Callithrix jacchus: one gene and its partner. The protein of the gene in region 1 interacts with the protein of each later gene in a pairwise test. Links are inferred from orthologs where the notes say so. Each region holds a gene or a part of one and is shown on either strand. Other genes may lie near its edges. The genes, in order: KPNA5 and ANP32B.

What was found.
Region 2: the proteins of KPNA5 (region 1) and ANP32B interact in binary tests that used the Homo sapiens proteins (3 or more experiments, as listed by UniProt). The two-hybrid records come from large-scale screens. The link is inferred for Callithrix jacchus from reciprocal best matches to the Homo sapiens genes KPNA5 and ANP32B.

Annotation. Positions count from the first base shown.
Region 1 is NC_133505.1:123,053,549-123,070,070, reverse strand, and holds the end of KPNA5 (importin subunit alpha-6), read right to left. Parts: intron 14,562-16,522; coding exon 14,398-14,561; intron 12,183-14,397; coding exon 12,104-12,182; intron 10,744-12,103; coding exon 10,618-10,743; intron 10,021-10,617; coding exon 9,893-10,020; intron 7,037-9,892; coding exon 6,858-7,036; intron 3,827-6,857; coding exon 3,639-3,826; 3' UTR 2,680-3,638; downstream 1-2,679. UniProt on the Homo sapiens protein: Functions in nuclear protein import as an adapter protein for nuclear receptor KPNB1. Binds specifically and directly to substrates containing either a simple or bipartite NLS motif.
Region 2 is NC_133502.1:146,119,409-146,135,930, forward strand, and holds part of ANP32B (acidic leucine-rich nuclear phosphoprotein 32 family member B), read left to right. Parts: intron 1-3,861; coding exon 3,862-4,011; intron 4,012-7,415; coding exon 7,416-7,538; intron 7,539-13,074; coding exon 13,075-13,264; intron 13,265-16,522. UniProt on the Homo sapiens protein: Multifunctional protein that is involved in the regulation of many processes including cell proliferation, apoptosis, cell cycle progression or transcription.

The DNA of each region.
Region 1 (16,522 bases):
CCACCCCGGCTGCCGGCTTCGCCAGGCAGACCTACTGCCTGGCGTCCCGTGTCTTTTTATACTTGGGAGTTTCCCCGTTCTGTGGGCAACAAAGATCAGTCTGGAAATGCAGCACTGACTCACCGTTTGCGAATTCAACGCGGGCTCCAATCCTGGGTTGTTCTCACAGCGCCATCTTGAGTCCCCTCCTATTTTTCATAATTCTATTTTATCTCCTTTGTTGGTTTTAGAAAGTAAATGTGTTTTTAACCAATAATAGCATCTGTTTTTGTTCTGTTAGGAAACAACAATCTTAAAAATGGAATGGACACATTTATATAAATGCAATTTTTAAATATTTTATTACTTTTTAATATAGTGCTATAACATTTCATAATATTGCATACTGCTCAAAAGTTGTTTTAATTAATAGGGTAAGAATATTTTCTCTTCTTACTCCCCAGTCAGAATTTAAACATATACTATCCTTTTAGAGCTCTATTATATTGGCTCCTAAAATGTCACATTTCATAAAACAGTAATGCTATAAACTAAACTGAATAAAGGTTTAAGAACAATTTGATTTCACAGTTTCACAAGCAGCCAGCAGATTGCTGAATTGAGAACAGCAACAAAAATTCACTAAGATTTTTTAATATTTATTTTTCCATAATGCTCCTTCTTAAAAAATATGAAGGCAAAGGTAATATATGCTTCTTCTAGTCCTTTATCCAATAAATCAACCTTTAACTGCAAATAGGTTTTACAAATGATATGTTAGTTCTGTGCCAGCAGAATTTATTACTTTTTTGCTTTCTTGTTCTGGTGTTACCAGTAAGTTGACCAAATGACACTAAAATGTAAGGACACTACCACTTGAAACAACTTTTCAAAATAAGACATAGTAAAAAGACCACACCAGTGAGTCAAGTCCTTACAAATATAAAACAAGCAAAATTGCATAGATTAAATAGGAGAAATTCAGGTTCAGACAAAATAAAACACCAAGTTTAATTAAATAAATGAAAAGGACTCCTTCAAGTATTTTCTTGATATTTGCATTAATGCTACATGCATTACTCTTTATAATACATTTTTTTTTTTTGGCATAGTTTCTCTTGGATTTAAATACAACAAATCTTAGAAAAACAAGTTTAAAAACGTATTTTTTTTCCCTCCACAAGGGCCAGTGAAGACTAATGAAAACATATTTTGGGGCATTTTATTTTTTTCTTTCCTTTTTTCTTTTTTCAATTTCTTTTTTTTTTCTTTCTTTCCTGGTCAGGGCTCTGCCTGATGGAGCATTTTAAATGGTATACCTGAAAAGAGTAGCTATATATTTTTTAAATTTTATAACTAAGTATTTGTTAGTCTTGATCCAATAAACTCAAAACAATAATCCAGGCCAAGAGCTGGTCCCAACTGCTATATAGTGCTCTTTGCAATCAAATCTAAAATTAATTACCCAAATAACGTATTCATGGGAATAAATATAAATTTGTACTTAAATGCTTATGAAGTATAATCATAGTCCATACTTAGAGATACGTTTTACTGGCAAAATTTAAGTTTCCTTTCATAGGTCTTTCTGTGTGCATGCATGAGCACACACATATTTATTATTTTTCCTTCTTTAAGAACTATTTTGTTTGAAAATTTGGGCTTAGAAATTTATTATATTGACTACAGGGTGCTCAAAATAAAAGGAGGCACAGCTGGTTAGTTTATGAATTATGCTGCATTATCGATTTTAATTGCCTAGAAAGAGTAGAATACCCTGTCACCTGAAACTTAGAACCATCTGCACCACAAAAATGTTTATCCAATAAATTCACCATCAATTCGGTACGCTTTAATATAACTACCCTGTTTTCTGAATATAGAGTTATGTAAAAGAAAACCATTTTATACTCAACTATATACTTTCTACTATGAAAAAAAAAGGACAGATACAATCTTCTACTTAACAACAATAAAAAAGGGCTGGCAGATGCAGTCAGCATTAGGGACACCATTTAAACCTATATCTTACAGCTGTAGGTTTTAAGTGTCTTGTTAACAGCTTAGTTTCATGATACATAATTTACAAAGCGACATGTTCTTTAAAAGTACTCCTATAAACATTTTCCTCTTGGAACGTGCCTCTGATTTCCAGCAGAAACATTATAAATACTATCATAAATGAAATCTTTCTTTAAAGAACAGACCATGAATCATATCAAAATTGCCTTAGTTCTCATCTTGAAAGTGTTGTAAACTAAATTTTAAATTAGTATTCTAGGTTTATAATTGGAAATGTAAATAGCCTATGTAGAACTATAAATTAAAAGACTGAGTTCGACAGTAGTTGAACTGTACGAGTAACACGCAGATATATATGTATACATAAATAAATATATATATATATAATTTTTCTATTGAAACCTTTCTTTTAAACTTTCAGTTTGAAGAGGTTTTGCTGTTAAATCATAAAACATACATATTGACCAATCTGACATGAATGTAATCTATAATTCATAACAAGCAGCAGTATAACCCTCTGAGTATTACTAAAAGAAAAAAAAGTCTATGATAGATTTGAACCATATTAAAGAATCCTTAGCAATTTTCATTATCACCATCATTTAGCATCCAAATGTTAAATGCATTTAATAAAATTTAACACATTTCTAATAACAGTAGGTTATTTTTTCAGGATAATTTTGTCATTCAAGTACCTAAACTTATTATTATATAGAAAATGAAACTTTTCAATTACTGCTCTGAAAAATCAGAGAAATAATCTAAGTTATTTTAGATATGCAGCACTATTTTAGATTCATGATGACATATCTGTCATGATGCTATTTAAAACAATGAGTGAAACAATAAAACACTATTTCAAAATGGTAGCATATTTGGTTGAAATACAAAATATACTAATATACATAACACATATGTGAAAAACACAAGTATTTAAACATCTTGTAATCTTCTTAATGTGTTCAACATGAAGAACAGCTTCTCTCTTCGCAATTGCCACATTTTAATGGATTATCAGTACAATATTTCTTCTATGTTTTATAAATAAATTTTATAGGTTTTCTGTTGCCATTTTTTTTTGCAAAATATAACCTACAGCACAGTGATATATGTAATTTAAGGTAAATATTTTCACATTCTAATTTAGCATTTGCATTATTTCATGCTTCTGAAGCTTTTTTGTTTTTATTTCTGCTTCAAGATAGAGGTAGATTTAGTAGAGATTGGGTGTGTAAGACTTACTGCCAAAATGCAATTATCAATAGGTGCACTGCTAATGTGCAGTTTCCAAGAATGCTTGAAAAAATTCAGAATTACTAAGTAATACTTTACCTAAGTTCTCCTTTTCAAGCTTAAATTACTAAAGAGTTGCATATTCAATTATTCTCAAATAGATACAAAAATCCTAACAATGGAAGATATAAATACAGGCACAACAACAAGACTAAAACAACAACAAACTACAATGAAAGGTTGCATCTGAATGAAAATTTTTGTTTCATTTTGCTTTCTAAAAGTGCGTCAAATTATCTTTTCTGTTCTATGTAAAAAAGCAAAAGTTCTTACTGACACTGGCAACAAAGAGGAGTTACCTGAAGCTACCCTTTTAGCCATACATTTTTTTTCCCTCCACCAAGTTAAAGTTGAAATCCATCCATTGGAGCTTCCTGCTGCTGAAATATAAACTGTTGTTGGTTTTCATCCACCTGCGGTACAATGCTGGGATCATCTTCTTCTACACCAAAGTAATGTTCAATCAGATCAAATGCCTTCTGGTAAATTTCCTGATTTTCATGGCTTTGTAAAAACTCAATTTTATCCAGACCTATTATATAAATGTATATATTAAAAACAAACTGTTACTACAATTTCAGTGTATGTTCAAATCAATATAATAAGTGAACATCATCTATCACCTCATTGGCAATGGAACTGCTATTTTAATCTAATTTTTGCACATATCAATAGCCATCACTTATGATTTATACTTCAAGAATGAGAGTATGTGGCAGTGTGAGATGAAGAAGGACCATAGGCCTGGGAGTAAGAAGATCACAGACACCACCCTGCTAGGTGTATGATCTTGGCCAAGAAAGTTCAGTACTTCTGTACTTTAGTTTCTCAACTGTAAAATGACAGTTTTAGATTAAGTAACTCCACAGGTCCTTTCCAGAGTAATTAACAAAGCACAAAAAAGGAAAGCAACAAAACAAATGAAAAAACCAAAATATGCTGAGCCAGAGAGTATCAGTATGAAATAAATGTGTAAAATTTGTAAACCCAGACAATAAAAAACATATGGCTGCTGTATGATGTAATAGAATTACAATCTGCAAGTGAAACTGAAAGGCCTCATTTTAAAAAGATGAGGATAATCTATAGCAACCGATTTTACTGCTTACAGGAAAAAGCTCTACACATAAGTCTGGGTAGTGCTGAAGATACATTTCATTTAATTATAGATAAACCACACATTTCAATCAGATTATCATAGAATAAAAAAAGCAGCAAAGCAGTCATATCTATGTACAATAACAGAATAGCCAAACTTGGGGCCAAAATAATGACCATAGTAAGACAATATTCTTAAATCAGTGACTAATATGTTGTATTCATGTAATGTCTAAGCCAGATATGTTATATAATTTGAAAGAAAATCAAAGTGGTGTCATGGGCATTAAGAATCATAAATAAAAGTCTGAATCAGCCATACAATGTAAGAGCACGTACTACAGAAAAGTGAATATTTAACGCAAATAAAAGAAAATAATCAATTTAGATTCATGTTTTATCTGAAATAAATTCCATATGATCAAGTTAAATGTTTTAAGAACCTAACTTTAAAAACTTGGCAAATAAAAAAATTAATTTTCATAAAATCTCTATAAGACAATGACTTTGTAAACTTCACAAGAACAGAAAATTCGCCTGAGTTATTTATGTTAAATACCAACGAACATGGTTTCTTTTGTTAAAATAAAAACATATTCAATGAATGATCTGAAAATAATAAAAAATAGACCAAAGGAAAAGTCATATCAAAATATACTATAAAATAAAATTCAAGTTTTTACCAAAAAAAAAAAAAAGAGTCAAATAGATCACCAAAGCAATATAAATATTCAATTTGGATGAGGAAATAGACTAACTGGTGAAAAATACATACTACTGGTCAGGCACAGTGCCTCATACTTATAATCCCAACATTTTGGGAGGCTGAGGAGGGGGGATCACAAGGACAGGAGTTCTACACTAGCCTGATCAACATGGTGAAACCCCTGTCTCTACTAAAAATACAAAATTAGCTAGGCATGGTGACACATGCCTATAATCCCAGTTACTCGGGAGGCTGAGGCAAAAGAATCACTTGAACTCGGGAGATGGAGGTTGTAGTGAGCTAAGATTGTGCCATTGCACTCTAGCCTGGGCAACGAGAGTAAAACTCCATCTCAAATAAAATTTAAAAAAAAAAAAGAAAAGAAAAATACATACAACTATCTATAGGAAATAAACCAAAAAATGTACCTAAAAGCAACTTGCTGTACTATTTTACATCGGCTGAGTCAGCAAAATCAACAAATCAAGTATGAGGTGGGAGAATAGATTCATATAATGCCACTGACACTATCAGCAACAGGCCTTTGGAAAGCAAAATAAGAAGACATATCAAAAGCTTAATAAGAAGACTCAGCAACTAAGACTCAGCAACTTATTCCTGAAAATTTACCCCCAGATATTAATTCCACAGAAGAAATAAATACTTTGGTATACATAAAGTGATAAATTGGGAACCACCCAATGTTCAACAACAGGTTATGGTTAAACCTGCATTCAAATGGCTAAAATCTCACTCAACATATAACATTATGGCCAGGCATGGTGGCTAATGTCTATAAGCCCAGCACTTTGGGAGGCTGAGGCAGGTGGATCACTTGAGGCCAGGCGCTCAAGACTAGTCTGGCCAACATGGTGAAACCCCATCTCTACTAAAAACAAAAATTAGCCAGGCATGGTTGTGTGCACCTGTGCTACTCGAGAGGCTGAGGCACATGAACTGCTTGAACCCAGGAGGCAGAGGTTTCTGTGAGCCGAGATAGCACCACTGCACTCTAGCCTGGGAGACAGAGTAAAACTGTGTTCTCAAGAAAAAAAAGTACATATATATTATATATATGTAAACACGTATCTATTTTTATATATGTATATATTTATATATGTAAATATGTATATAGTTTATGTGTATATATGTAAATATTTGTGTATATAATATAAATACATGTTTGCATGTATAAATGCATTATTACACATAATATGCACATATTCACACACACATATACATATAAATGTGTATATATAATATATGTAAATATGTATATATATTGTGTGGGAATGTATATATATTTATACATAAATATATATGTGAATGTGTATATATTTAAATATATAATATATATGTAAATATGTATATATTTATATGTAAATTTTATGTGTATGTATGTATATGTATATATACATATATATATATATATATATATATAAAACATTATGTGGTCATTATAATAAATACTATGTAAAAATGTAAAATTTCTCCAAAATGTTAAAAAGTAGAACATAAAACTATATTTATAATATGATTAGGTCAATGTAAAGTATTTGTGCATAAAGACAATGCAAAAAGAACAGTAAATAATAAAAATAAATTGTTAGGGTAATAAAACTATGGGTGACATTTTAAAACTTAAAAAAAATTATAGTGCTTTTACAACAAAAAATTTACAGGGAACTGGAAGGGGAAAGTATCTAAGACAGACAGTTAAGAACTATCAATAATTATAAATTTTTAACTGATTACTTACCATATGCTTCTTCAATGAGAGCACAGTATGGATTAATGCCTATTCCGTTCTGCTTAGATTCTTGTTCTCCAAGACGTAAAATATTTTCAAGTCCATTTAAAGCCACTTGGACTATTTTGGAGTCCATAACAGTCAAAAGATCACAAAGTGGTTTAATGCAGCCTAAGGCTACCAAATATCTTCACATTAATTTAAAAAAGAAAAAAAAGGGGAAAAAAAGATTTAAAAAGATTTAAGTACTATTTCTAGCAATGACACAAAAATATTCTTCATAGTGAATTGTTAAATAAGCAATTAGAAAAAAGTATTCCTATACAAACAAACATTAGACACATTTAAATTCTCACATAGGAAAATGAAAACTTTATTCGCCTATTCTCTAATTGAATATAATTAGCAACAAATGGTCTTGCAAATACTATAAAATACCCACACAGACTGGTACTTGTGCTTGTTTTTCATGGCAGATGTTCAAAAGGGTTTTTATTTTATTTTTAAGGCAAGCCTACATACACACACACAGAGGTCATATGGGGGTAGGCAGAAATGGAAAGAAGAGACTTCTAAATTAAACTTGAGAAAATTTCCCATAAAAACAATCACAGCTAATGTTCTGAAACATATGCTGTGTTTCAGAAGCACAGAAAGCCTCTAGAAACAAAACAGTCTATCTTGTGAATAATTTTCATAAATAATATTCACAAAAAATTCCATTAATTTCCTAACGCGTGTCCTTTTCTAGTTATTGGCCGGTTTTTTATACTCTATGATGTAAATGAAGTAACTGATTTGTTCACTTGGCAAAAAGTCTGTATTAAGTAGAAAGGTTAAAAACATACTATGAAGCCGGACTATGTGCCTTCAGATCCCAATTCCACTCCTTATTAGTTGTGTGACCTTGAGCAATTACTCTTTGTGTTTCAGTTTCCCCATCTTAAAATGGGAATATTAGTACCAACCTCAGAGAGTTTTGTGAGAACGCAATAGACATTTAATAGAAGTTTCTGTCCCTCTAAAAATGTATATACTTTCACCGCAGCACTCATTTGCCTTACACTATACTGTAGTTGATCAAAAATATCTGTCAAATGAATAACTACCTCACAGTTATGAGATTAAAGGAGATAAAATACATGAAAGTACCTAATACATTGCTGGTGCTCAATACTGAAATGATTTACTTAGCACAGTAACTGGCAATAGTAGGCACTCAACTAGTAGTATGCATACAGAACTTAATCTGGTATCGAGAGGTCTTTTCCCATATATGTAGACTCAATGAAATGATTAAAATGGTTAGAAAAATAATTATCTCAGTTTGGCACTTTAACTATACTGATAAATTAAAGGAATAACATACAGAATAGATATAACCATAAAAATTAACTGAAAAAATATATTTGCAGATAAACAAACGTGCAGTCCAAATAAAAATAAAATCAGCATTAAAAAAATAAAAACTAGAACAAAGGAAGGGTCTTGATTTATTACTGCTTGTATCAATGACACAAAGTGGAAATACTGATTAAAGCAAAAAGATAGTAGAATAGAAAATAAAAGGCAGAGATAGATGTTACTAATATATAGCGATACAAATTTGAGAGCAAGGTAATACTACAAATGAAGGCAAGACAATGATTTCACAATAAATTTCACTATAAAATAGCATTGTAATTTGACCTGTTTTATAAATTGAAAAATAAATTAAATATCCATTAGAAAATATTTTCTAAGAAGTCTAGTTTCATGGAGTGATTCTCCAAAGAAGACGATTCTGTACAAGTAAGGATTTTTTTAATAGAGGTGTAAATGAAACTTTGCTATGAAAAATAAAGAAGAGTCAAAGTACATGATAAAAAGAGATTCAGAAATCAATACTATAGTACAAATCATGACAATTACAAATAATGATAACAGTAGCTATTCTTAGTTATTATCTACTAGCTAATAATAATATTTAGGCACTGTACTGACACTTCAAAAACATAAATTTCACTTAAATATCAAAATACAGTCCCTTGGTTTCATCGGAGACTGGTTCCAGGACACCCTCCCTCTCCATACCAAAATCCACAGATACTCAATTCCTTTATATAAAATAGCATGGTATTTGCATACAACCTATACATATCTTTCCACATATTTGAAATCATCTTTAGATTAATTATAATAGCTTACACACTGTAATTGTTATGTTAATAATTGTTACACTGTGTTTTTAAATTTGTATTATTTTGTATTGTTGTACTGTCATTTTTTACTGTGTTTTTCTTTTTTAATATTTTTTACCTGCAGTTGGTTGAATCCACAGATGCAAAATGTGCAGATATCAAAGGCTGACTGTACTATTCGTTACTGGCACTCATTTTTAAATATGAAGAAACTAGATTAGAAGGGTTAAATGACTTTGTCAAGACCATACAACTTTTACTGAAGGAGCAGGATTTGAAATCAGGCTAACTTAAAAGCCCATGCACCTATTATTTATGCTGTCAGCAGAATAAATAAATTTAAAAAGCCTAGACTCAAAAAGCTAATATATATAGATATACTTTAAAAAGGTAACCAGTATAGAAAAATAAGAGATACTATCCATAGGCAAGGCTAACAATCAATGAGGAGCAGATCATCATGTAAACAAATGTCTATTTCAATTTTATTTAAAATGGATATTCAAATTTATTAGCCATTTCTATATAATAAAGCTATATTGTTGTGATTTTAATGGTTTAAAAAAAGATTTAATACCCATGATAGTGTACTCTGCAAATTAACATAGACTGTTCCCATTCAAATTTTTAATCTCTCATTTTTCATAAGAAGCCTATCAAGGAGAATGATGTTAATTATACTTAAAATGAAAAAAAAATTGTGAATGAATAATTGATATAATACATGCTATCATTTCAGATTAAAAATGCTTATCAAACTGACTTAGAAATAATATTTTAGTTTCATCAGTAAATAAAAGTATATTTTATTTCAACTTTTGTCTCATTTACATTTAAAAAACAATTAAAAAGTTTATATCATACCTTATTTGCTCTGGAGTACCTCCTGATGTTGCATTAGTTATAGCCCAAGCTGCTTCTTTTCTGGTACGGAACTCTGCTTTCTGAAGAATCTCAATCAAAACAGGAAAAATATTTGCATCTATAACAGCCTGAGAGGGGGAAAAATATATAATCACTACAAATACTGTTTCTAAAATATTACCAGTAAAAATATCTTGAAACCCAATAGCTTCAAAATTTCAGGGTTTTTGGAAATACCTTTCCAAATATTTTTTATTCCTAGACTGTCAGCAAACTTTCAAATATTTTTTCTTTTTAGGTAGGAAATTAGCTTTTCAAAGACTGGAGAATAGCAAAATATAAATTTTAGAGATCATAAAGCACAAGGTATGTGACTGATTAAAATGGATAAATAATTACTGACCTAAGAAGCTTGATAGGACCCTAATAAATCATTAAAAGCTTTGAGAGGAAGATTATTGCCTAACTTATTTAAAACTAGTGCAAAAAAAATCTTTCTAAAGACAAACCGTTATGTATCAGGCATTGTGCTAGGCGTGCACGTGTAGAATATAAGTAAATCTTACTATTTTAGAGGAGGAAAGGCCATGGTCTTTAAAATACTTTTTAGGTATCTTTTTAAAAAGAATTTTTTTTAGAAACTCACTGAAAAACACTGATAGACTTTTGTCCAAACGGGCTTCTTAGACCTTGCTGTTCTACTCTCAGATCTGAAGGGTATTTACCTGAATCTGAGCTCTATTTCCAGCAGTGATGTTAGAAACGGTCCAGCAGCCTTCTTTTCTAATTGACTCCTTTGGGCTACTCAATAAATGTAAGAGACAGGGTAATGCAGAACAATTCAAAATTACCTAAAACAAATTAGAAATGGAAACAAAAAGTTTTATAGTAAAAAATCTACATGAAAATCTACTAATGAATTATTTAGATGTACAAAAACAATTCTACAAAATAAAGAAAGGAGAAATTCTTCCCAAAGTAAAACTTGCTGTCTTCTACACTTCTGTTATTGATAAACCTAGTCTCGTGCCACTATAAAGAAGTGCCCTGTTCTCAACCCAATAAAATGAAAATCAGAGGTACGTCCTTCAAATTTACAAATGTTCTTGGAGTTCAACTGATAAAACTTTGAAAAAAGATTTGGTGATTGAAGTTAGAATCCAACCTCTAGTTTTGTCAAATGAATTGGTGAACATATAAATATATATCATACAGTCTAATACTGGAACCATTAAAAAACATTAGCATGTAGAATCAATTAGCTTCATAAAAAATTTTACTATCTCACTCTTCTTCTGTAAACAAGTATATTCTGCATTGTCCCTTTACATTCTTTAATCATAATTCTTTAAGATTAATTATGTTCCTATATTGGAAATACTCCAATGATTTACTTTAGATTCATCTGGTTGAAGAAGTACGGAGCAGTGCACTGGAAATCCAACTGAAAATTACAGTGCATGTCTAGAATGGCATTTTCATTTAAAGAGCTATATTAAATGAAAAACTGTCAATTACTAAAGAGCAACTGTTTAATAACTTTGATTAGTATCTAAATAGGCCTTTAAAAGGATAAAAAGGAAAGAAAATATGTAGGTTAGAATAAAAAATATACTGTAAGGTGGTAAACAAAGGAGAATCTAATATGTTAAAGAATTTAAGTTTCTATCTTCAAGAAAGATTGTGCTGGGTATGGTGGCTCATGCCTGTAATTCTAACACTTTGGGAGGCTGAAGCAGGAGAACTGCTTGAGCTCAGGAATTTGAGACCAACCTGGGCAACATAGCAAGACCCTGTCCCTAAAAAAAATTTTTTTTAATTAGCCAGGTGTAGTAGTGCACACCTGTGGTCCCAACTACTTGGAAGGCTGAGGTGGGAAGACTGCCTGAGAGGGGGAGGTAGAGGCTGAAGTGAGCCATGATCACACCACTGCACTCCAGCCTAGGGGAAAGAGCAAGACCCTGTCTCTAACTAACTAAACTAACTAACTAGCTAAATAAATTAATTAAAGATTGTAACCCAAATCTGGCTAGAGTCATTCTTGATGACACATCTTCTTTGACATCTCACCATCCTCCAAGATACAGATACAGACACACACACAATTGTGGTGATGTTAAGTCTTGATTAATATGCAATCAAGTCATATGAAACATAAATTTTTTAAAGTCCATTAGGTCAACAATTTATAATACTTAAGTTTGAACTCACCTGTGTTTGAATATCATCACCAGTCACAATATTACCAACTGCCCTTAATGCAGGTGATACAACTTTATAATCATTGTGCCTAAAAATAATAAAAACACGAACCTAAATACTAGTAAGAATTTAAAATTTACATAAAAGTTACAAAAATAGTACAAACTCCTGCAGAGTTTTCAGCCAAAGATCCCACTGAAGTTTTACTAATTATTCTGATAATCTTTATAACAAAGAATCGAATCCAGGATTATTAATTACAGTCAGGTTCCATGTCTTTCCAGATTTCTCAGTCTTCCCTTGATTTTCATGATTTTCCCATTTTTGAAGATCATATGCCTGTTATTTGGGTTTATCCAAAGTTTTTCATGATTAAGACCCAGGTTTTGGCTGTTGATACCATCAGTGCTATAATCTTTTCATTATATCCCAATCTGTTTTTTCCCATTATAATGGTACTGAACTCTGGTCACTAATTATGATGATGTCTGCCAGACTTTTCCACTATATCATTACTGTTTCCCCCTTAATAATATAATTAATATTTTGCAACAAAATACTTGAGATAATGCAACATCTCATTCCTTAACCTACTTTTACCACTAAGTTTTAGCATTTCTTGAGGCTTATTGTCTGAAGTGTTGTTAATTATTAGTATTATTATCAATGATGTATTTCTAATACTATCATTCCAATTACATGCTTTAATGTGGACTTGGATTTCATATTTTATTCAATAAAATATATGTTAATATAATTTATTTCAAAGCTCAAACTGTCCCGGGTTTGGATAGTGAGAATCCCTTCAAACAGGCTTCTGCGTCCTTTTCACATTTCTCCATTACTTGAGCACCCATTACTTCCTGCACTCATCTTACATTTTATCAGTTCCATCCCTGAAATCAGTCATTTCTCCAAGAATACTGGTTCCTTTCAATGGAGAGTGGAATTTAGAAACTTAGATTTGAACATTCAGTTTCCTCAGCTTATTAATGTATAAGTGTTACTGCTCCCAGACCCTTTAAGAGGACACACATACACACACACATATATATTTATTTCTATACCTAGCTATGTTAAGAGCCATGAGTTCACACTGATATTTCTAGTTCTAATCTAAAAATCATTAAATTATTCAGGTTTTCTCATCTTCCATATTTTTATCTCCATTCTCTGATAACAGGAAATAGCTTCTATTTTCTTAACCTCCCTACATCAGCCAATCTTTTACCTCTGCTAGACTGCCACCCCAGGATGTGTTGGCTCCAAGCCCTGTTCCAGCCTGCTTATCTGCTCACCCCAGTGGGTGCCATTATCAAGTTTGGGCCCTGGTCCCCACATTGAACCTGCATGCCTACCCTCCTCTGATGCTATCCTCATGCTGGGATCCCCAACTTCTTATCAGACCTCTCTTTGTGCCATCTACCTTGTTTGGGCCTACCTAATGACTTTTTGACAAAAGAAGAAGGGAAGGAAGATAATATATTTTTTAAAAGAAGTAAGAAGATGACGTTACAACATCTTTCTAAAACATGTTTTCTTCGGCTGGGCGCTATGGCTCACGCCTATAATCCCAGCACTTTGGGAGGCCAAGGCGGGTGGATCACAAGGTCAAGAGATCAAGACTATCCTGGCCAACGTGGTAAAACCCCGTCTCTTCTAAAATACAAAAATTAGCTGGGCATGGTGGTGCATACCTATAATCCCAGCTACTTGGGAAGCTGAGGCAGGAGAATTGATTGAACCCGGGAGGTGGAGGTTGCAGTGAGCCGAGATCATGCCACTGCACCCTAGCCTGGCACCTAGTGACAGAGCGAGACTCTGTCTTAAAAAAAAAAAAAAAAAAAAAAAGTTTTCTTAAACATAAACTTCTTTGTACAGAAAGCTGTTCTTTTTAAGGAAAATAGTTATAACAGCCCAGCAAAGAGAAATATATTATCTTTAATAGAAGTGAAACACTAAATGATTTTCGCTACATGGACTTTTACTCAAATTAAATATTACCAAGAATAATAAACTAGATTATTCATTCTGTGAAAGCAGAAACTGTGTTCTACACTTCATTAACAATGCCTCACACAACACCTTAGCAGCTAACAGACATTTCATAAAACTACAGGACATAAGTTACAAGTTTTAGGGTCAACTTTCTAGGATTATGGGTATTCTGTTAAGTGTAGGGTCATTAACTTTTTCATTTTCCCTGAAGATAGTGACTCCTGAGATATTTACAAAGCTATTACTTTAATTGCTAAACTTAATCCCAATTATATAATTAGTAAGCATAAATTATTTATAGTTACATCAAAAGTTCCACCAATCTTCGACAGACTCCAGAATCAATGACTGCTTGAATTTTATCATTGGGTCCATCAGAGAGATAAGAAAGGGCCCAACACACGTCTGCTAACACATCTGGGTCACTGCTAAACAACAATCGTGACAGGACATTTAAGCAAGGTGAAACCTGTAAGGAAAGAAAGAGCATATTCAAATTTTTTCTCTATTTAAAACCAAGTTTCCTTAGAAAAATATAGAAATTCATTTTAAAACAAAAATTTAATGTTATAAAAATACCAGAAAATGTATTATATTGTTTTAAAATTATAATCAGATATATGAACATGAAGCTGATTATGATTACTACTAATCTTATATTGAATGAGATATATGGTAAAATGTTTTAAAAAATAGTAAAATATTTGGGATCTCATCTGTGTCTAAACCACATACCCCCACACAAAAACAAGCACACCAAAACTGAGAAGTTCAAATGTTCCAGTTAAGTGTTTGATGCGATGATCACTGAATATAATCTAACTTTAATGAGCCTCACTTTATTCATTACATGTACTTAACTGGAAATAAATCTAACAATCATTTGAGGAACTAAGGTACAAAAAGTATAAAAATGAATATATCTGTGAAGAGTAGTCAAGTGGAAGTCATTAATAAACTATTACACTGATAATAAGAGTGCAGGTAGCAGCTAAGAACAGTGCCTGACATACAGTAGGCACTCAAATGTTGTTTTTTTTTTTATTCCCGTGATCACTATTGATGCTATGTTCCTTAAAGTTGTTTTTTAAAATCGGCAACTTGGCCAGGTGTGGTGGATGACACCTGTAATCCCAATACTTTGGGGGGATGGCATTGGTAGATCACGAGGTCAGGAGATAGAGACCATCTGCCTAACATGGTGAACCCTGTCTCTACTAAAAGTACAAAAAAATTAGCCAGGTGTGGTGGTGGGCACCTGTAATCCAGCTACTCAAGAGGCTGAGACAGAAGAATTGCTTGAAGCTGTTAGGTAGAGGTTGCAGCGAGCCGAGATCACGCCACTGCACTCCAGCCTGGGTGACAGAGCAAGACTCTGCCTCAAAAAAAAAAAAAAAAAAAAAAAACAGCACCTAACATATCCCTTAGTCTCTCTCCTCAGTTAAGAACTATAGTTATATGTTACATATCTCACAAATAAAATGTGATGACCTTTTTCTTAAATGTTCTAATATTTTGGATGAGTTTTCCTTTACCTCTATTTTAAAGATTATCAGCATGTAAACTATCATCTTCTGAAAGTAGTTACCATCTCTGCTGGGTCTGTCCTCTAAAGATGACCGTAAGACTCACGTACACAAATCAGTCAGCTTACAAAATAGATATGTCCATCTGTTAAGTTAGCAAATAAAATCAGCACAGCTGGATCCTTCCCCATTGATCATGCTTTCACCCTTGCCAGTCATCTCTTCCTTGAACAGAGAAATCAGGTTTTGGTATTTTATATTTTATTATTTTATTTTATTTATTTTATTGAGACAGGGTCTCATTCTGTTGCCCAGGCTGTAAAACTGCAACCTCTGCTTCCTGGGCTCAAGCAATCCTCCAGCCTCCGCCTCCTGAGTAGCTGGGATTATAGGAGTGAGTCACCATTCCCAGGTAATTTTTGTATTTTTTGTAGAGACAGGGTTTCATCATGTCACTATGCTGCCTAGGCTGGTCTGGAATTCCTGTGCTCAAAGCAATCTGCCCGCCTCAACCTCCCAAAGTGCTAGGATAACAGGCACGAGCCACTATGCTGAGTAAAATATCAGTTTTTCAAAGCAAATATAAAGTGTGTTTTTAAAAAAAATCAATATAGCTCACATATGCCTTTTTACTGAGTTAAAAAAAATGAACTACTACATATTTCTAGTATTAAGTGAGCAAAGTAAAAATATTTCTACCCCAGTGTCTTCTCAGGAAAAAAGAAAAAGAAACAGAAATACAAATTCCAACTTTGAAGAGGCCAGTAGACATTAATAATCCTGTCCACAATATACCAAGACAAAAGCGAATAAAGAAACTAAACCTACTTAGAAGAGGAGAGAAAAACGAAACTTTAATTTCAAGAGAGGGAGATACCAATAAGAGGGAAGCTAATTTATCTCT
Region 2 (16,522 bases), on another chromosome or scaffold:
GGGCTCAAGTGATCCACCTGCCTCAGCCTCTCAAGTAGCTGGGACTACAGGCACGTGCCACCATGCTGAGCTAATTATTTACTTTATTATAGAGACAAGGTCATCTTGCCCAGGTGACTCTTGGACTCCTGGGTTAAGGTGGCCCTCCCACTTTTGCCTCCCAAAGTACTGGGATTGTAGACACTAGCCACAGCACCTGGCCTTGAACAATATTTTTTAGTATTGGTTATTTGTGTCTTTCAGAACTTGTCTGCCTTTTTTAAGTGTTTCTACTGGGGTATTTATTTTTTTCTTACTTAGGGTAAAAACAATAGAAGATACCCTCAAGAACAAGATAAATGCAAATAGCCAGAATTTCCATAATCGAGAAGTTACGAAAAGTAACAGTCAAATCAGTTGGAAAATATTTTGCAGCACTTAAAAGTTAACTACTCATTTAAAAGAGAAGTTGATGTCTTAACTAATAACAGACTCAAAAGTTTGTATTCTTTCACTTAGCAATGGATTCTAAAGACAGTCTTAAATACAGAAGACATTTTAAGTAAACAGATATGGTGGGGAAAATTAAGCACAAATGTTCAACAGGAAGGATTATAAAGTGATAACCATACATTGTAATTTCTTTAGCCGTTGAAAAATACTCTGTAATCAGAAAATTGGTCCCCTTTATATCCAAGTTTTCATCTTAGTCCCTCACAATTAAGACACAGACCCCTGTACAGTATTGCTGACAAACGCGTGGCCCTTTTTTTCTCATTCAGCAGTTACGTAGGCTCATATTCAGTGATACAGTGGTAACCAGAATATACATGACCCTGCCATTATGAAGCTTAGTCTAGCAGTGACTCTTTTTTTGAGACAGTCTCAGTTTGTCACCCAGGCTGAAGTGTAGCGGCACAATCTCAGCTCACTGCAACCTCCGCCTCCCAGGTTCAAGCAATTCTCCTGCATCAGCCTCCTGAGTACCTGGGCCTACAGGCACATGCCACCATGCCTGACTAATTTTTGTATTTTTTTTTTGAGACGGAGTTTCGGTCTTGTTACCCAGGCTGGAGTGCAATGGCGCGATCTTGGCTCACCACAATCTCCACCTCCTGGGTTCAGGCAATTCTCCTGCCTCAGCCTCCTGAGCAGCTGGGATTACAGGCATGCGCCACCATGCCCAGCTAATTTTTTGTATCTTTAGTAGACACGGGGTTTCACCATGTTGACCAGGATAGTCTCGATCTCTTGACCTCGTGATCCACCCGCCTCGGCCTCCCAAAGTGCTGGGATTACAGACTTGAGCCACCGCGCCTGGCCAATTTTTGTATTTTTAGTAGAGATGGAGTTACCATGTTGGCTAGACTGGCCTCAAACTCCTGACATTGGGTGCTCCATCTCCCTTGGCCTCCCAAAGTGCTGGAATTACAGGTGTGAGGCACCATGCCCAGCCAGGAAAAACATGTTTTAACCCACATTTGATTCCTCTGGTACATTTTGATGACACCTTTACAATGGTTAAAGTGGAATTTTGCAAGTTGAAAGAAAAGTCTTTTAAGAGGTGATTTCACTCCATGAGCTGGGAGGCAATATGGCCAACTGTCACTTTACTTTTTGGATATTGGGTCATTTTGTGTAACATTTTTGGATTATTTTAGACAGAATTATAGAAAATCTCCCAAGCTAAATGGGAACATTTTGATTGTATTACAGTATACTGCTTTATATGGGTGGGTGATGACAGTTGACATTTTTAAAAGTTTAATGGATTGTTGGTTTTATGGTTTAGTTTAGAAACTAATGGTTTAGTTTCTTTCTTTCTTTTTTGAGATGAAGTTTCACTCCTTTTGGCCAGGCTGGAGTGCAATGGTGCCATCTCAACTAACTGCTGCCTCAGCTTCCTGAGTAGCTGGGATTACAGGCATGCACTACCACCTCCAGCTAATTTTGCATTTTTAGTAAAGATGGGGTTACTCCATGATCATCAGGCTGGTATTGAACTCCCAACTACAGGCATGAGCCACCGCACCCAGCCTAGTTTCTTTTTAATACAGAATTTAAAAAAAAAAAACAATAAATACATGCTTGTAAAAAATTTAATACAAATATAAAAATACAGCAAAGGTCTCTGACATTTCCCATTCCCTTTACCCAGAGTTTACTTTCTGGCCATTTATAGTGTTCCAAGCCCTAGTTCCTACAACTTCATGAGGTAGGTACTGTTATGTCCACTTCATGGGAAACTGAGGCACAGAGAAGTGAAGTGACTTACACAAAGTTGTACAAGTTCTGCGTGGCAGAGGAGAACCAGGATTCGACCCCAGACATCTTGTTTCCAGAGCCCAGCTTTTGTCAGAGTTGACCTATTTTTTCAGATGTGCTCATTTCTTAAAAGGGAAGAATGGCAGAGATATCTAAAGAAAAATGGAAAGAAGGAAGGAAGGGAGGGAGGAAGTATGTGGATGTAAAGAGTAAAATGTATGCCTGGCTTCTGAAGAGGAAGTAGACAGGGTAGTGAGAAGTGGTTAGGCACTTACTATGTTATGGGTATTGCTGACTTGAAATCTGTTTCTTTCTCTATAAATGGGGGAAGGAGAGTGGTGGTAGAAAGAATAAATGTTTACTTCATAATTGAAAGCAATTATTAGAGTAACATCATTGGATTTTGTATGAGAGGATGAGGACATTGTTAATAGCTCCTGTTCTCTTTTCAGAGTATTAGCATCTCCCATATACATGCTTGATTAATGCCATTAAATATGGTAGGTTCACTAAAATTCTTTACAAAGGCATTCCGCCTTTGTTGGTGCAGTTAAAATGGTAATTTGCATCACTGTGAGTAGATCAAAGTGGGCTAAAAAAGTTGCAAGTTTCAGGGTGATCAAGAATGGCAATATGAATTATTGTGGTAGATCTGCATGTAGACTCTTAAATAATCAGTATTCAAAAATTCAAATCATCAGATGTGATGCTTTTTTTTTTTTTTTGAGATGGAGTTCTACTCTGTTGCCCAGGCTGGAGCGTCATGGTGCAGTCTCAGCTAACTGCGCCTCCCGGTTTCAAGCAATTTTCCCGTTGTAGCCTCCCAAGTAGTGAGATTACAGGCACTCGCCATAATACCCGGCTAATTTTTGTATTTCTGTAGAGAGGGGGTTTTACCATGTTGGCCATGCTGGTCTTGAACCCCTGACCTCAGGTGATCCGCCCGCCTTGGTTTCCCAAAGTGCTGGGATTACAGGCGTGTGCCACTGTACCTGGCCAGATGTAGCCTGAAAATGAAAACTTATTATCTAACAATTCTCTAGAAACATCTTTCTCATGTGCAAACCAGATCGATTTTTGTTTTGAATTAAGGACTCTTGCATCCTGATTTCTTCCCGGTGTCAAGATAATCTTGGCAAAGATTAATAAAACCAGAGCTGGAAAGTGTGTTGGTACAGAAATCTCTAGCCAGAATCTCTTAGTGGTCTTGGTAGGAAAAATAAAGCTTTCCTCTTTTCTGTGGTCATCTTCTGGGACTTAAGGTAGATTAGCCTAAAGAGTGTTTTCACTCTGTATTTGCATTTAAATGAAAGCTGCCCTTTGGGGAACAGACTGGGGAAAAGAAATAAGGGGAATACACTTACTTCACTTACATCTAAAGTATAGTGTCCGTTTCTGGAACATGAGTGTTTTATGCTAGTAATATTCCATCTTTGAATCTGTTAGCATATTGCTACTGAAGGCTTAATTATTTTTTATCTTTTTATAACTATGCTCTAAGTCTAAGAGGCTGCCCATATTATATGGGTGTTTTTGCAGGGTATTTATGGTGGAAGTTTTTGCATTCTTTGTTTTCAGAAATTTTTCTGAGAGCTTATTCTTTTTTGTCATCCACAGGTTCGAGAACTTGTCTTGGACAATTGCAAATCAAATGATGGAAAAATTGAGGGCTTAACAGCTGAATTTGTGAACTTAGAGTTCCTCAGTTTAATAAATGTAGGCTTGATTTCAGTTTCAAATCTTCCCAAGCTGCCTAAATTGAAAAAGGTAGGTGCTTTTCCTTTAACAGTAAAAGAGAACAAACCTGGGAAGGGAAAATGTATGATTTTACCTGTAAGGAAGCACTTAGTATAGCAGAAAGCACTTGACCTTTGGAACTGGGCAGATATGGGATGGAATTCCAGCTCTATCATTTCCTTGATGGGTGATCTTCTTCAGGTTACTTAATTTCTCTAAGGCCCAAATTCCTCACCTGTAAACTGGTGGCATTACCTGACCTTGCAGAATTGCTGTGATGTTTGGAAATAATGCATGTCGGGTGCTCAGTAAATAGTTAGGAAGAATAATTACTGTGTTTTGTGAGTAATTTATTTGTTAATTGTTATAAAACCAGTTCTTTATCCTTTCGAAAAAAAGGACCAAATGCTACAGAAAAATGTTTTCTTTTGTCATTGCACATTTAACTGTCACAGAGTCCCAGGACATCAGAATTGGAAAAAACTTTGCTCTTCTAACCCAGCTCCTTATGTTACAGACACAGCAATAGTCCCAGAAAAGTATAGTAATTTGCCTAAAGCCACCCACAGAAACGGTTAGTACTAGAGCCAAAACTAGAACCCATATCTCTCCTAACCTCATACCTTTTCCATTATATAGGAAAAAATGTGTGCTTATATAAGTATTGCAGAATTCTCTGCCATTTCAATATTCACTGTACTAGGAAACTTAAGTTGTACCTTTTTTTGACGAAGTCACACATAGAAGGAAATAAAATCAAACTTAGGTAAAGGTAGGCTGTTCCCAGAGCTTGCTTGTGTTCTGAGAGGGACAGTTAGTTTTTTTTTTGTAATGAAGGTTTTGTTGTTTTGCAGGAAGTGGGATGGGTTAAGTATGATACATGAGGTCGGCGCCATGGCTCACGCCTGTAATCCCAGCACTTTGGGAGGCTGAGACAGGTAGATCACCTGAGATCAGGAGTTCAAGACCCTTCTGGCCAACATGGCAAAACCCCGTCTCTACTAAAAATATAAAAAAATTAGCTGGGCATGGTGGCACGTGGCTGTAGTCCCAGCTACTCAGGAGGCTGAGACACAAGAATCACTTGAACCCAGGCAGCTGAGGTTGCAGAGAGCCGAAATCGTGCTACTGCATTCCAGCAGCAGAGCAAGACTCTGTCTCGATTTTTTTTTTTAAAAAGTATAGTACGTGAATTAAAAACTAGAAGTTTTTTTTTTTTTTTTTTTGGAGACAGAGTTTCACTCTTGTTACCCAGGCTGGAGTGCAATGGCGCGATCTCGGCTCACTGCGACCTCCGCCTCCTAAGTAGCTGGGATTATAGGCACGCGCCACCATGCCCAGCTAATTTTTTGTATTTTTAGTAGAGACGTAGTTTCACCATGTTGACCAGGATGGTCTCGATCTCTTGACCTCGTGATCCACCCGCCTCAGCCTCCCAAAGTGCTGGGATTACTGGCGTGAGCCACCGTGCCCAGCCTGAATTTAAAACTTTTAACATTTAAACATTAATCACTTCTTTTACAGGGCTAATGAGAGGGAATCATACTTAAAGGCAGGTTGAGTGTTCTGATGACTGATAAGGACTTTATTTTCTTCCTATCCCAGAACGTGAACTGTTTTTTGAGACAAAGTTTCATTCTTGTTGTCTAGGCTGGAGTGCAGTGGCATGATCTTGGCTCACTGCAGTCTCAGCCTCCTGAGTAGCTGGGATTACAGGCACGTACCACCACGCCCGGCTAATTTTTGTATTTTTTTTTTTTCTTAGTAGAGACGGGGTTTCACCATGTTGGCCAGGCTGGTCCTGAACTCCTGACCTCAAGTGATCTGCCTGCCTCTGTCTCTCAAAGTCTTGGGATTCAGCATGAGCCACCATGCCCAGCCCACAAACTGTTTTTAACAAGAAATAAGTACTGAAAAAAATGGTATATAAATGTCAGTTTTCTAAATTTAAACATCGATTTCATTTCCAAAATACATATGGTAATAAATGTTTAAGTATATTGCCTTGTTATTCCTACTCCCTAAGATACTCATGTTGAAAGGATGTGGATGTTACATGTGTATGTAATATTTCTAACCACATGGTCTAAAACATGGGTCAAGAAAAGTGATCTGTTTTTATTTTGATGTACTGAAATAATTAATAAAGCTAACACTCGACTGTTGATCATAGACACATTTTTAAGCCTAGACCATGACTAGATATTTCATGGAAAATTTCCCATTGGAAGGAAAAAATGTTTTAAAATGTTATATTTTCCTCTTCTGAAATATTTAATAACACCTTAAGCAGTTGACTAGTTTTTTTGACTAAGTTTTCAGCAAATACTTATATTTTTAAAAGTTACTCTACTTTGCATCATGTAGTACATTTCATTGCATGCCAAAAACTTCATTACATGACACTTTCATGCTATTCCAAGTATGTAGCATAATAAGGAGGACATGGATATTTATGAAGCCAGCCTGTCTGGCTTCAAATTGTAAGCCCACTATGGTTATTTTTGTCATCTGTAAACAGGAGTGGTAATTCTGCCTACCCCATAGGGTTCTTGTGAGATCAGATGAGTTAAGGTATTTCTAGTGCCTGGCGTTTAAATACTATGTAAGGGTTAATGTTACTGTTGTTGGCACTTTAAAATAGATAATTAGAATCAGCTGTGTAGCTTGAGTTTTTCTTGTCTGCTAAAGGAAAAGCTTGAATTAGTTGTTCTTCACAATGCTTTCTAGGCTCCAGTTCCTTCTACTTTAAGATTCTAATATTCCTTGGTGAAGGCTCATTCCCTCATTGGCACACTACTTGCAAGTGCTACTTGACCTGCAGCTAAGAAATTAGAGTAGGTTCTAATAAAGGCTAGTGCCAAGTTTATGCAAGATGTGGACTCTAAGGAGCTGGTTTCATAAACCTGAGGCTGCTGCTTTATGCACTTATTTGTAGGGCCCGTCTCTCTCTTGTGGCTTTCAGAGCAACATTCCCTGGTGGCTTCAAGAACTCCACCATGTATGGCAGCATTGTCCAGAACCAGATAAGGTTTCAAGTGGGCGTTGCAAGTTTTGAAGGTCCACAAAATAAGCTGCTCAGAATGCACAGACTGTTAAACCATTTACCCTTTCTGGCAGGTATAGGGTATTGTCAAATAATTCTAATTGGTTTTGAACCACTTTTTAAGTTAGAAAATTTATTCACTGATGTTAGAGACCGGTTGTTGACTAAGCTGTTATTAGCAGCTGACTAGGAAAACAATACTTCTAACCTTACCTTCTCCTGTTAATTATTTGGATTTAAACAAAATGAACATGCATGCCTTAATAGAAATAGGGATTATTTGATCTTGATAAATATTTGAGAAGTCCTTTTTACTTACAATACCTTAAATGATGTGTGTTTTCTCTGTGTGTATTTGTGTTTGTGCTGTGTCCATTTTCTCTTGCAGCTTGAACTCAGTGAAAATAGAATCTTTGGAGGTCTGGACATGTTAACTGAAAAACTTCCAAATCTCACACATCTAAACTTAAGTGGAAATAAACTGAAAGATATCAGCACCTTGGAACCTTTGGTAAGTAGTTAAGAATTTGGAAACTGGGACTTACTGGTCATTTTCATTTTCATATTTCTTTATAGTGGGGGAAATTACTGGCAATAATAATTGGTTGAGAAAGTTGTGGTTTTTTACTTTTTATAGAAGTCCCAATTTTAAAGATCAGGGCCTCTCTAATTAGATGTATTCTTGTGTCTTTACTCTTTCCCTGCCTGATACTGTGATGGCATCCTTCAGAAGAGGATTTTTGGGGGTGTTTTGTTTTGCGTCCACTTCTGAAATTTATGTATTGACTATATAGCCTTAAACATGTCTCTTACAATTTTTTTCCCCAGACTGCCCAAGCCATTATGCACTTTTATACTTTAACAGAAAAGGCTATTTATATTGTGTGGCATACCTGATTTGTAGATGGAACAATAAAAGACAGCTCCATTTTAAGCTTTAGGTCATCTAATTCATGACCTTGTGTTCTAGTTGGATTACTGTGCCTAGAGTTTTGCATGGAAACCTCAAGATACTCTTCAGTCGTACATATTGGGATAAGATAGGAAAAGCTAAGTTTCAGTGCCACTTGGGTTGTAGACTTGCTGTGTGACCTTGGGCAAACTGCTTCTTCTCTCTGGGCCTCAGTTTCCTCATTTATAGCAGAGGATAACAATCTCTGCCTTACTTACCTCACATAGGAGTTCTGAGAATAAGATAAAGTAATGTACTTATTTGCTTTATAAGGTAATCTGCTCACTTTGCTTTTTGTCCAGTTTGTGTGTAGGTTGTAGAGGCCAGAAAAGGGCTTCCAGAGGCAGGACTGGAGATAAGGGGCTTAATGCAGTTTGTAGGGCCAGTGCCACAGGCTCTGCTATTTGGCAGAGGGTTATATAGCATATAGGAGCTGTCTTTCAGAATCCAGAACAGACCCTAGAGGGTAAGACATTTCTTCTCTGTTGTTTCTGTCCTGATGTCAGAGTATATTAAAATATGTGAATTTCACATCAATTGTGTAAAATGCTCTGTTGATATTTCAGGAGAAGACGGAGTTAAATTGTACCTTCTTTAATGAAAAGGATTTCCTGTCGAGTTAGAAGATCTTTTCCTTTCTAAATTATTGAGACTCTGCTCCAATACAGATTCAATTACCTTTTACTGAATCTCTGCGTGTATAATATATGTATTCTTTTAGAGAGAGATGTTAGGCCAGGCTGGTCTTAAACCCCTGGCCTCAAGTGATCCTCCCACCTTGACCTCCCAAAGTGCTGGGACTATAGGCCTGAGCCACCAAGTCCGGCTGAGTCTCTTTATTTTTACATTTCATTAAGTTGTCCATATTTAAGAGCTCCTATTTCTCATAAATGTAATGCCTCACCAGTGCTCCATGAATTTTGCCCTTTTTTCCTGTTACAGGTTTGCCTAGATACTCAGGCTCTTACTAGTTTTGTTTCCTTCAAACCAACCCCCATTTCCAGTGTTTAAGCCGACATTTATTGACTTTTACTGTATCCAAGGACATTAACATTTGCCCATTGTATCCTTAAGTAACCCAGAGAAGAGAGAATGACTGTCCTCTTTTTAGAGATGAGGAAGCGATGAGTTTGGAGAATGTAGTACATTTCATTGTAGTACATTGTAGTACACTGCTCTGGGTAAATGGCAGAGTAGGAATTCAAATCTAAGTCTGGGCTGGGCAAGTGGCTCAGGCCTGTAATCCCAGCACTTTGGGAGGCCAGGGTGGGCGGATCAGTTACCCAGGCGTGGTGGCAGGTGCCTGTAATCCCAGCTACTTGGAAGGCTGAGGCAGGAGTATCACTTGAAACCCAGGAGGCGGAGGTTGCAGTGAGCCGAGATCATGCCATTGCACTCCAGCCTGGGCAACAGAGTGAGACTCCATCTCAAAAAAAAAAAAAAGAATTCAAGTCTGCTCTGCTTTCCATAGCCCTTGGGACCTGTTCTTCTTTTTCCATCTGTAATTTATTTCATGCCCAGATTTCAACAGGAGCACCAAATTTTAACTGCTGATGCTTTCCCATTCAGATGGGCTACACCAAGCCTATGTTTATTGGTTAGTGACAGACACACTAATCATAGGTTGTTGTGAGCATAAGAAACTCTTCTCCCCTTTTTTTCTAGATTTTTAAAAAAACAGAGTAGCAGGCAGTACCTTTTCACAGTTGATGACTAGCCATTACCTAATTCTGGTGGCAACTTGAGTTCTCTTTGATTATCATCAGCCTTTTTCAGTGTTGTAGCACACAGAGATGGAGCAGAAGCAAATACTGTGTGGGAGTTGTTTGCTTGAGTTTTCCTGATCTGGTCAGTAATGTATGAGAGGACCCTCTGATGGCTGTGAAAGTCTCAGTCCCCCAGGACAGTGGAAGGATGAAAAATAATCTTCATTGTTTATCATTTTTAGAGGATCTGCTATACCCATACACTTACTGGGTGCTTTATGTTTTATTGGTGGTTGTCAAAAAAAAAAAAAAAATCTTCGCTGTAAAGTGGATAGAAATAACATGGCCCTTATTTTATGTTGAGGAAGCTAAGGCTTGGGTGAGGCTGAATCCCTTGTCCAGAGTCACACACCCTGTGTTGGAGCCACAGGGCTACACACCAGAGCTATTTCGAAAAGCCTGGGGTCCCACCATTCTGCTGTACTTGGCACTCGGATTCCTTGGAATTAAGTAAATCTGTAGGAGAAGGTGAAGGGGGGAAATGTTGGGTCAATTTTGACTTCTGGCAGTATTCTTCAGTGGGGAAAAACACCATCCTCATCCTCATTAACCACATACATTTTGAACACCGTCTACTTTGAGCCCAGTTCTTACAGTCAATGCAATGATTGTGAATGCCTCTGCTTGCTACAGGGACATTAATCGAGAGACAAAGAAGGCATCAATTCAAACTTCCTTGGACACCTTTTTTAAGAGACCTGGGCCATCCAAACCATCCCCCAAAGCCCTTCTAAATTCTAAGAAGGCAAGCAAAATTATTGTTAATAAAATGTTTAATGTTTATTATGGCTAGCTTATTACCTTACATCAAATTTCTGGTATGGTAGAGTTGTAATTTTTTTAATCAGTATTTACACATTACATTGGGATCCTGAATAATCTGTGTGTAGTGTATCTTGTGCCTATTGGGCCTTAAAGCACAATTTTACTACTTTGAACAATTCCAGATTACTATAGTTATTTGGGATTTTTGTTGTTTACTTGCTTTCATTTCATTTTCCAACCTACTGATTGGCATGTCCAAATTACTTGATAATGGGTGCTTTGCCAGGAAGTAGCCAAAAATCTCACATAATTGTACAGTTTCAGAAACAGAAGAGCCTTGGAGGCCCTGTATACTGGAAGAGTCAATGAAACTAGAGAGAGAAAAAAGGGCTTTTGGTGGTATTATAAAGCATTAGATAAATATCTGAGGTTGTATGTCTTTGTACACCTATTTCTAGGAAATCTGAAATGCAATTGGCTCGTCCTTTAAGTGGAGAATTTTGAGAGTGAACCTTTTTGGAAAAGCTGCCTAAATGTACTTATGGTTCTATCTTAGCTGGCATAGAGTCAGCCTTTGTGAAGAGAAAGCCAGTATGCTAGCTACCTGTCTGGGGTGGCATTGCAGCAGTTTTTCCTCTTTGGCAAGAAGTCATACTTGGGCTCCTGGAAGTCAGGGCCTGACCAGAAGGGAACCTAATCTGAAAATTACATGATACAAAAGCAGCTCTATGACCAGAAGGGCTGGGGAGAGCTTTCTTAAGACATCAGGGAACTGACTATATAAGCACATTGTTTGATCCACAGACTCTTGGATCATTATACATTTATGTTATGACGGGTGCAACATTTGCCTGTTGATCTAACCCTGCTGTATTTATTCCCTGCATGAATAAAACAAGTGTGGGGGTCTCTTTCTTGATCAAGAAGATGAAGTTTCTTCATGTGCAGGGGTCAGGAGTCCTTTTTTCTAAGGGCCAGATAGTAGGTTCATTTGCCTTTGTAGCCTCTTTATCTAGTCTCGGTCACAACTAGCCTGCTTGGCCATTTTAGCACATAAGGAGCCATACATAAACAAGTGAGTGTGACTGTGTTCCAATAGAGCTTATTTTACAAAAACAGGTGGTAGGCCAGAATTGGCCACTGGAACACGGGTTCCCAACCCCTGCTCTATAGCCTTGCGGCAGATTTTCACATTGTTTTATATCTCCTCAGAACAACATAGATACCTTGAGTTCTGAAAATAACCTGTTTTGTTCTGTCTGCATTTCTTCTCAAGTCCTTATGAGTGTTGTACCAGCTTTCCTAATAAAGCAGCAAAGCCTGTTCAGCATCAACATTTATTTTTTAGAAATTACTTCATGTGGCGGTCCTCTTATATTTGTTTGGGTGTTTCTAGTACTATTTTCTTAGAGAATACCAATCAAGTTTTTCTCTTGATTCAGAACCATTAAAGGTTGTGTTTATGAAACTATCTAGATAGATGTACTTATCGCCCCTATTCTGAAAGGCACCAGGCTACGTGCTACTTCACATTGGGTTTGCCTTTCATAGATTTCTCCCTCTTCTACCTACAGGGGTCTGCTGTCACTTCCTGTTGCTATCTCCTGACTTGCTTGTAGTAGTACCTCTGCCCTCAATCTCTTAATTTTACCCTTAATCAAAACCAAGTAGACCTGGGATTGAAATACTAGTAGACTGACATAATAACAAACGAAGATCTTAGTAAATACATAGACATTTTCCTATGCACTTTGACTACTCAGAAAACTTGATTTGAGCCCCAAGTTTTTATAGCTTAACTGTTTTTAGATAGATGAAACTGATGGTTCCAAAGAAATGAGGTATTGCAACAAAATTTCAAGGTATAGTAAGTAAAATCAGAAGAACTGCATCATAAAAGTCTGGTAACATGTCAGTCTTTTTCCTAACAATTAAAAAAGAAGAATGCAGTATTTCTCCATATTTCTGAAGTTTCAACTCTGTACCCCTCTGCATTTTCTCCAGCCTGTGTTGACTCCTGTCTTCCCTGAAAATAGCTGCATTGCCACACTTTATATTTTATATTTCACCCTCTAGTGTTTCATCTCTGTGCCCTAAGTAAAATTGTAAGTACCTTGAGATGGTGTTATAAATCTCTGAATTTTTCCCTATAATATCGCCTCAGAATATTAGAGACTACTTAATACCCAGGAGGTTTTTAATGGCCATTTGATTATGCAAATGTTAACATTTGTTTCAACAAAATGTATTAAACTGTTTGATTGTCTCATACTGTGAAAATAATCTGGATATGATAAAAATTATTTTCATTTTATATTTCTTTAGACTATGCTGCCAGAAAAACATACAGTTCTCTGGGAGAGTAAGTAGAGAAAGAGAGGGACTAGTTAAAGTCTAGTAACCTAATATAAAGGTTGCAAAGACTTGATGTGTTTTTCTGTATACAAGACTGAGTGGGTAGCAGGAATTGAATATAGAGCCTAGAATTTTACCTCTTCAAGAGATGGGTTTGTTACTTATATTCCTTTTGTTTAGGAGTTGTGTCTTTTGATCCTTTTCTTCAGAAAAAGTTAGAATGTCTGAAAAGCCTGGACCTATTTAACTGTGAGGTTACTAACCTGAATGACTACCGAGAGAGTGTCTTCAAGCTTCTGCCCCAGCTTACCTACTTGGATGGCTATGACCGAGAGGACCAGGAAGCACCTGACTCAGATGCCGAGGTGGATGGTGTGGATGAAGAGGAGGAGGATGAAGGTGAGTAGGCTCAGCATCCAGTGAACTTGATGTCTGCCTTTGAAAGCCTCTGTTGAAAGCTATTGGATGCTTGCTGGGCGCAGTGGCACACGTGTAATCCCAGCACTTTGGGAGGCTGGGGCGAGGGGATTGCTTTAGCCCAAGAGTTTGAGACTAGCCTAGGCAACATAGCAAGACCTTGTTTCTACAGAAAATAATAATAAAAATCAGCCAGGTGTGGTGGTGCACACCTGGAGTCTTAGCTACTCAGGAGACTGGAGGTTGAGGTAGGAGGATCACTTGAATCCAGGAGTTTGAGGCTACAGTGAGCCATGATTATGCCCTATTGCACTCCATCTCACATGACAGGCAGTTTCAAGCTACCTGATGTTCTTACTATTGAGGAAAATTGTGTGTGTGTGTGTAATTTTTTTTTTAATGTAGGCATTCCATTAAATTTATAGCTAAGGCCTGTTTCATAAACTCCTGGCCTCAAGGGATCCTCCCACCTCAGCCTCCCAGGTACTGGGATTGTAGGGATGAGCCACTGAACCTGGCCTGGGAAGCATTTCCTGAAGCCTACAAGCTAGGTTAAGATGCTGTGCTTATTAAACTGTAAACCCCTTACTTACTCTTACAGTCTTGCCACTCTGCTGTTCTTAAGTCTTCCTACTTTAGGGGTCTCCAACCCACAGCCCACAGACTAGTACTGCTCCATGGCCTGTTAGGAACCAGGCCACACAGCAGGAGGTGAAGGGTGGGCAAGTCTCATCTGTATTTACAGCCACTTCCTATTGCTCACATTACTGCCTGCGCTTCGTCTCCTGTCAGATCAGCAGTGGCATTAGATTCTCAGAGGAACTCTAACCCTATCATGAACTGCACATGTGTGAGGGGCCTAGGTTGTGTGTTCCTTATGAGAATCTAATGCCTAATGATCAGAGGTGAAGCTGAGGCGGTAATACTAGTGCAGGGGAGTGGCTGCAAATTCAGATTAACGTTAATGGAGAGGTTTGACGACACAGAGACCATAATAAATCAATTTCTTGCAGACTCCTCAAACCTGTCAGTGAGTGGCAAGTCACATTTAAGCTGTATTTGCTGTCAGGCTTTATAGTGGCAAGTGAGTTGGCGTATTTCGGTTGTACAGCTGCATCTGGTGATAGGCTTTAATCAGAACCTGATGCTTATTTTAGTCCATGTGTGGCCTTCCCATTTTTTAATTTTCCACTTCCATCCACTCCTCTTTCTTGCACTGTGTATTCGTTTTAGCCCCAGTTTTGGTAAGCCCACAAGTTAACCCTAGCCAAAACAAGTAAAAAAACAAGTATAAGTGGAGAGCTTTGAAAAGGGATAAAGAGGGCTGGGCGCGGTGGCTCAAGCCCGTAATCCCAGCACTTTGGGAGGCTGAGGTGGATGGATCACGAGGTCAAGAGATCAAGACCATCCTGGTCAACATGGGAAACCCAGTCTCTACTAAAAATACAAAAAATTAGCTGGGCATGGTGGCGCATGCCTGTAATCCCAGCTACTCAGGAGGCTGAGGCAGGAGAATTGCCTGAACCCAGGAGGTGGAGGTTGCGGTGAGCCGAGCTTGCGCCATTGCACTCCAGCCTGGGTAACAAGAGCGAAACTCGATCTCAAAAAAAGAAAAAAAGGGGGAAAAGACTCAGTAATGAGATAGCAGAAGACAAGACTGCCAATGGGAAAAAAGCTTCATTAAAAAAAAAAATACCAAGAGTGATATTTAAATTACAGGTTTATTAAAACAGGTGATTCACATTCCCCAAGCCCACTTTGTATAATATGTGGCAACCAGCTATCCAACACAGCCATGAAACCTTCAAAACTGCTTCACTGGCTGGGTGCAGCGGCTCATGCCTGTAATCCCACCACTTATGGAGGCAGAGGCAGATCACCTGAGGTCAGGAGTTGAAGACCAGACTGGCTAACATGGTGAAACCCATCTCTACAAAAATTAGCCAGGCACAGTGGCGTATGCCTTTAGTCCTGGCTACTTGGGAGACTGAGGCATGAGAATTGCTTGAACCTGGGAGGCGGAGGTTGCAGTGAGCTGAGATTGCACCACTACACTTTAGCCTGGGCAATAGAGCAAGACTCCGTCTCAAAAAAAAAAAAAAAATTATTCAACACATGGAGAGCAAGCACCCTGCATTTAAAAGACAAGCCTTTAGAGTTTTTCAAAAGAAATATATGTGAACACAAAGAACAGAAGCAATTATTGAAACCTACCACTTCATCAAATGTGTCTGCACTGAGAACATCTAGGAGAGGCTACAGTTAAGCTGCAGTTAAAAGGTAGCACATGTTCCTCTTTCGGCTAGCACCGTAAACTAGATGTTGATGAAACAGAGAATATCGAGGCACAGTTGTTAAAGAGGACTGATGAGTCACCAAGGTATGCATTGCAGCTTGATGGGTCTGCCGATGCTGACAATATGGCAACAATGCTTGTTTTTGTGTGATATATTTTCAGGGAGGATGTGCATGAGACTATGTTATGTGTGCTTCATTGACAACACCACAGCTGCAGAACTATTCAAGTCTTTTGAATGATTAGGTATTAGGAAAACTGAATTGGTCATTTTGTATTGTATATGCACAGATGGAGTGGCTGCCCTGGCTGGACAGCTTTCTGTTTTCACTACTTGGGTCAGAGAGGTTGCTTCTGGATGTGAGTCTGTGTACTGTGTCACCCATGGAGAAATGCTGGCTAGCTGACAGATGTCACCTGAACTTAATGTCTTGCAGGATGTGATTAAAATTAACAGCCACATAAAAGTACATCCCGTTAACCCATATTTTTTCACACAACTCTATGAGATAGACACAGAGAACACGTCTTCTCTTACACAGAGAAGTGAGATGGCGTTTTAACGGTAGATCACTGGCCAGAGTTTTTGAGTTACGAGGCCTGCTCCAGAGATTTCTTTTAGAATAACAGTTGCCACTGGCAGAACATTTCAGTGATACAGAATGGTAAAACTTATTTTTTTTTAAGTTCAGGGGTACATGTGCAGGTTTGTTGCATAGCTACACGTCTGCCATGGTGTTTTACTGCACATATCATCCCATCACCAAAGTATTAACCCCACCATCCATTAGCTAGTCTTTCTGATGCTCTCTTCTCCCTGCCCCTGCAAAGACCCTTGTGTGTGTTGTTCCCCCCTGCCATGTGTCCATGTATTAACATACGGTGTTTAGTTTTCCGTTCCAAGCATTTGAATTTTTGATGTGTTTCAAACATTAGTAGTGATA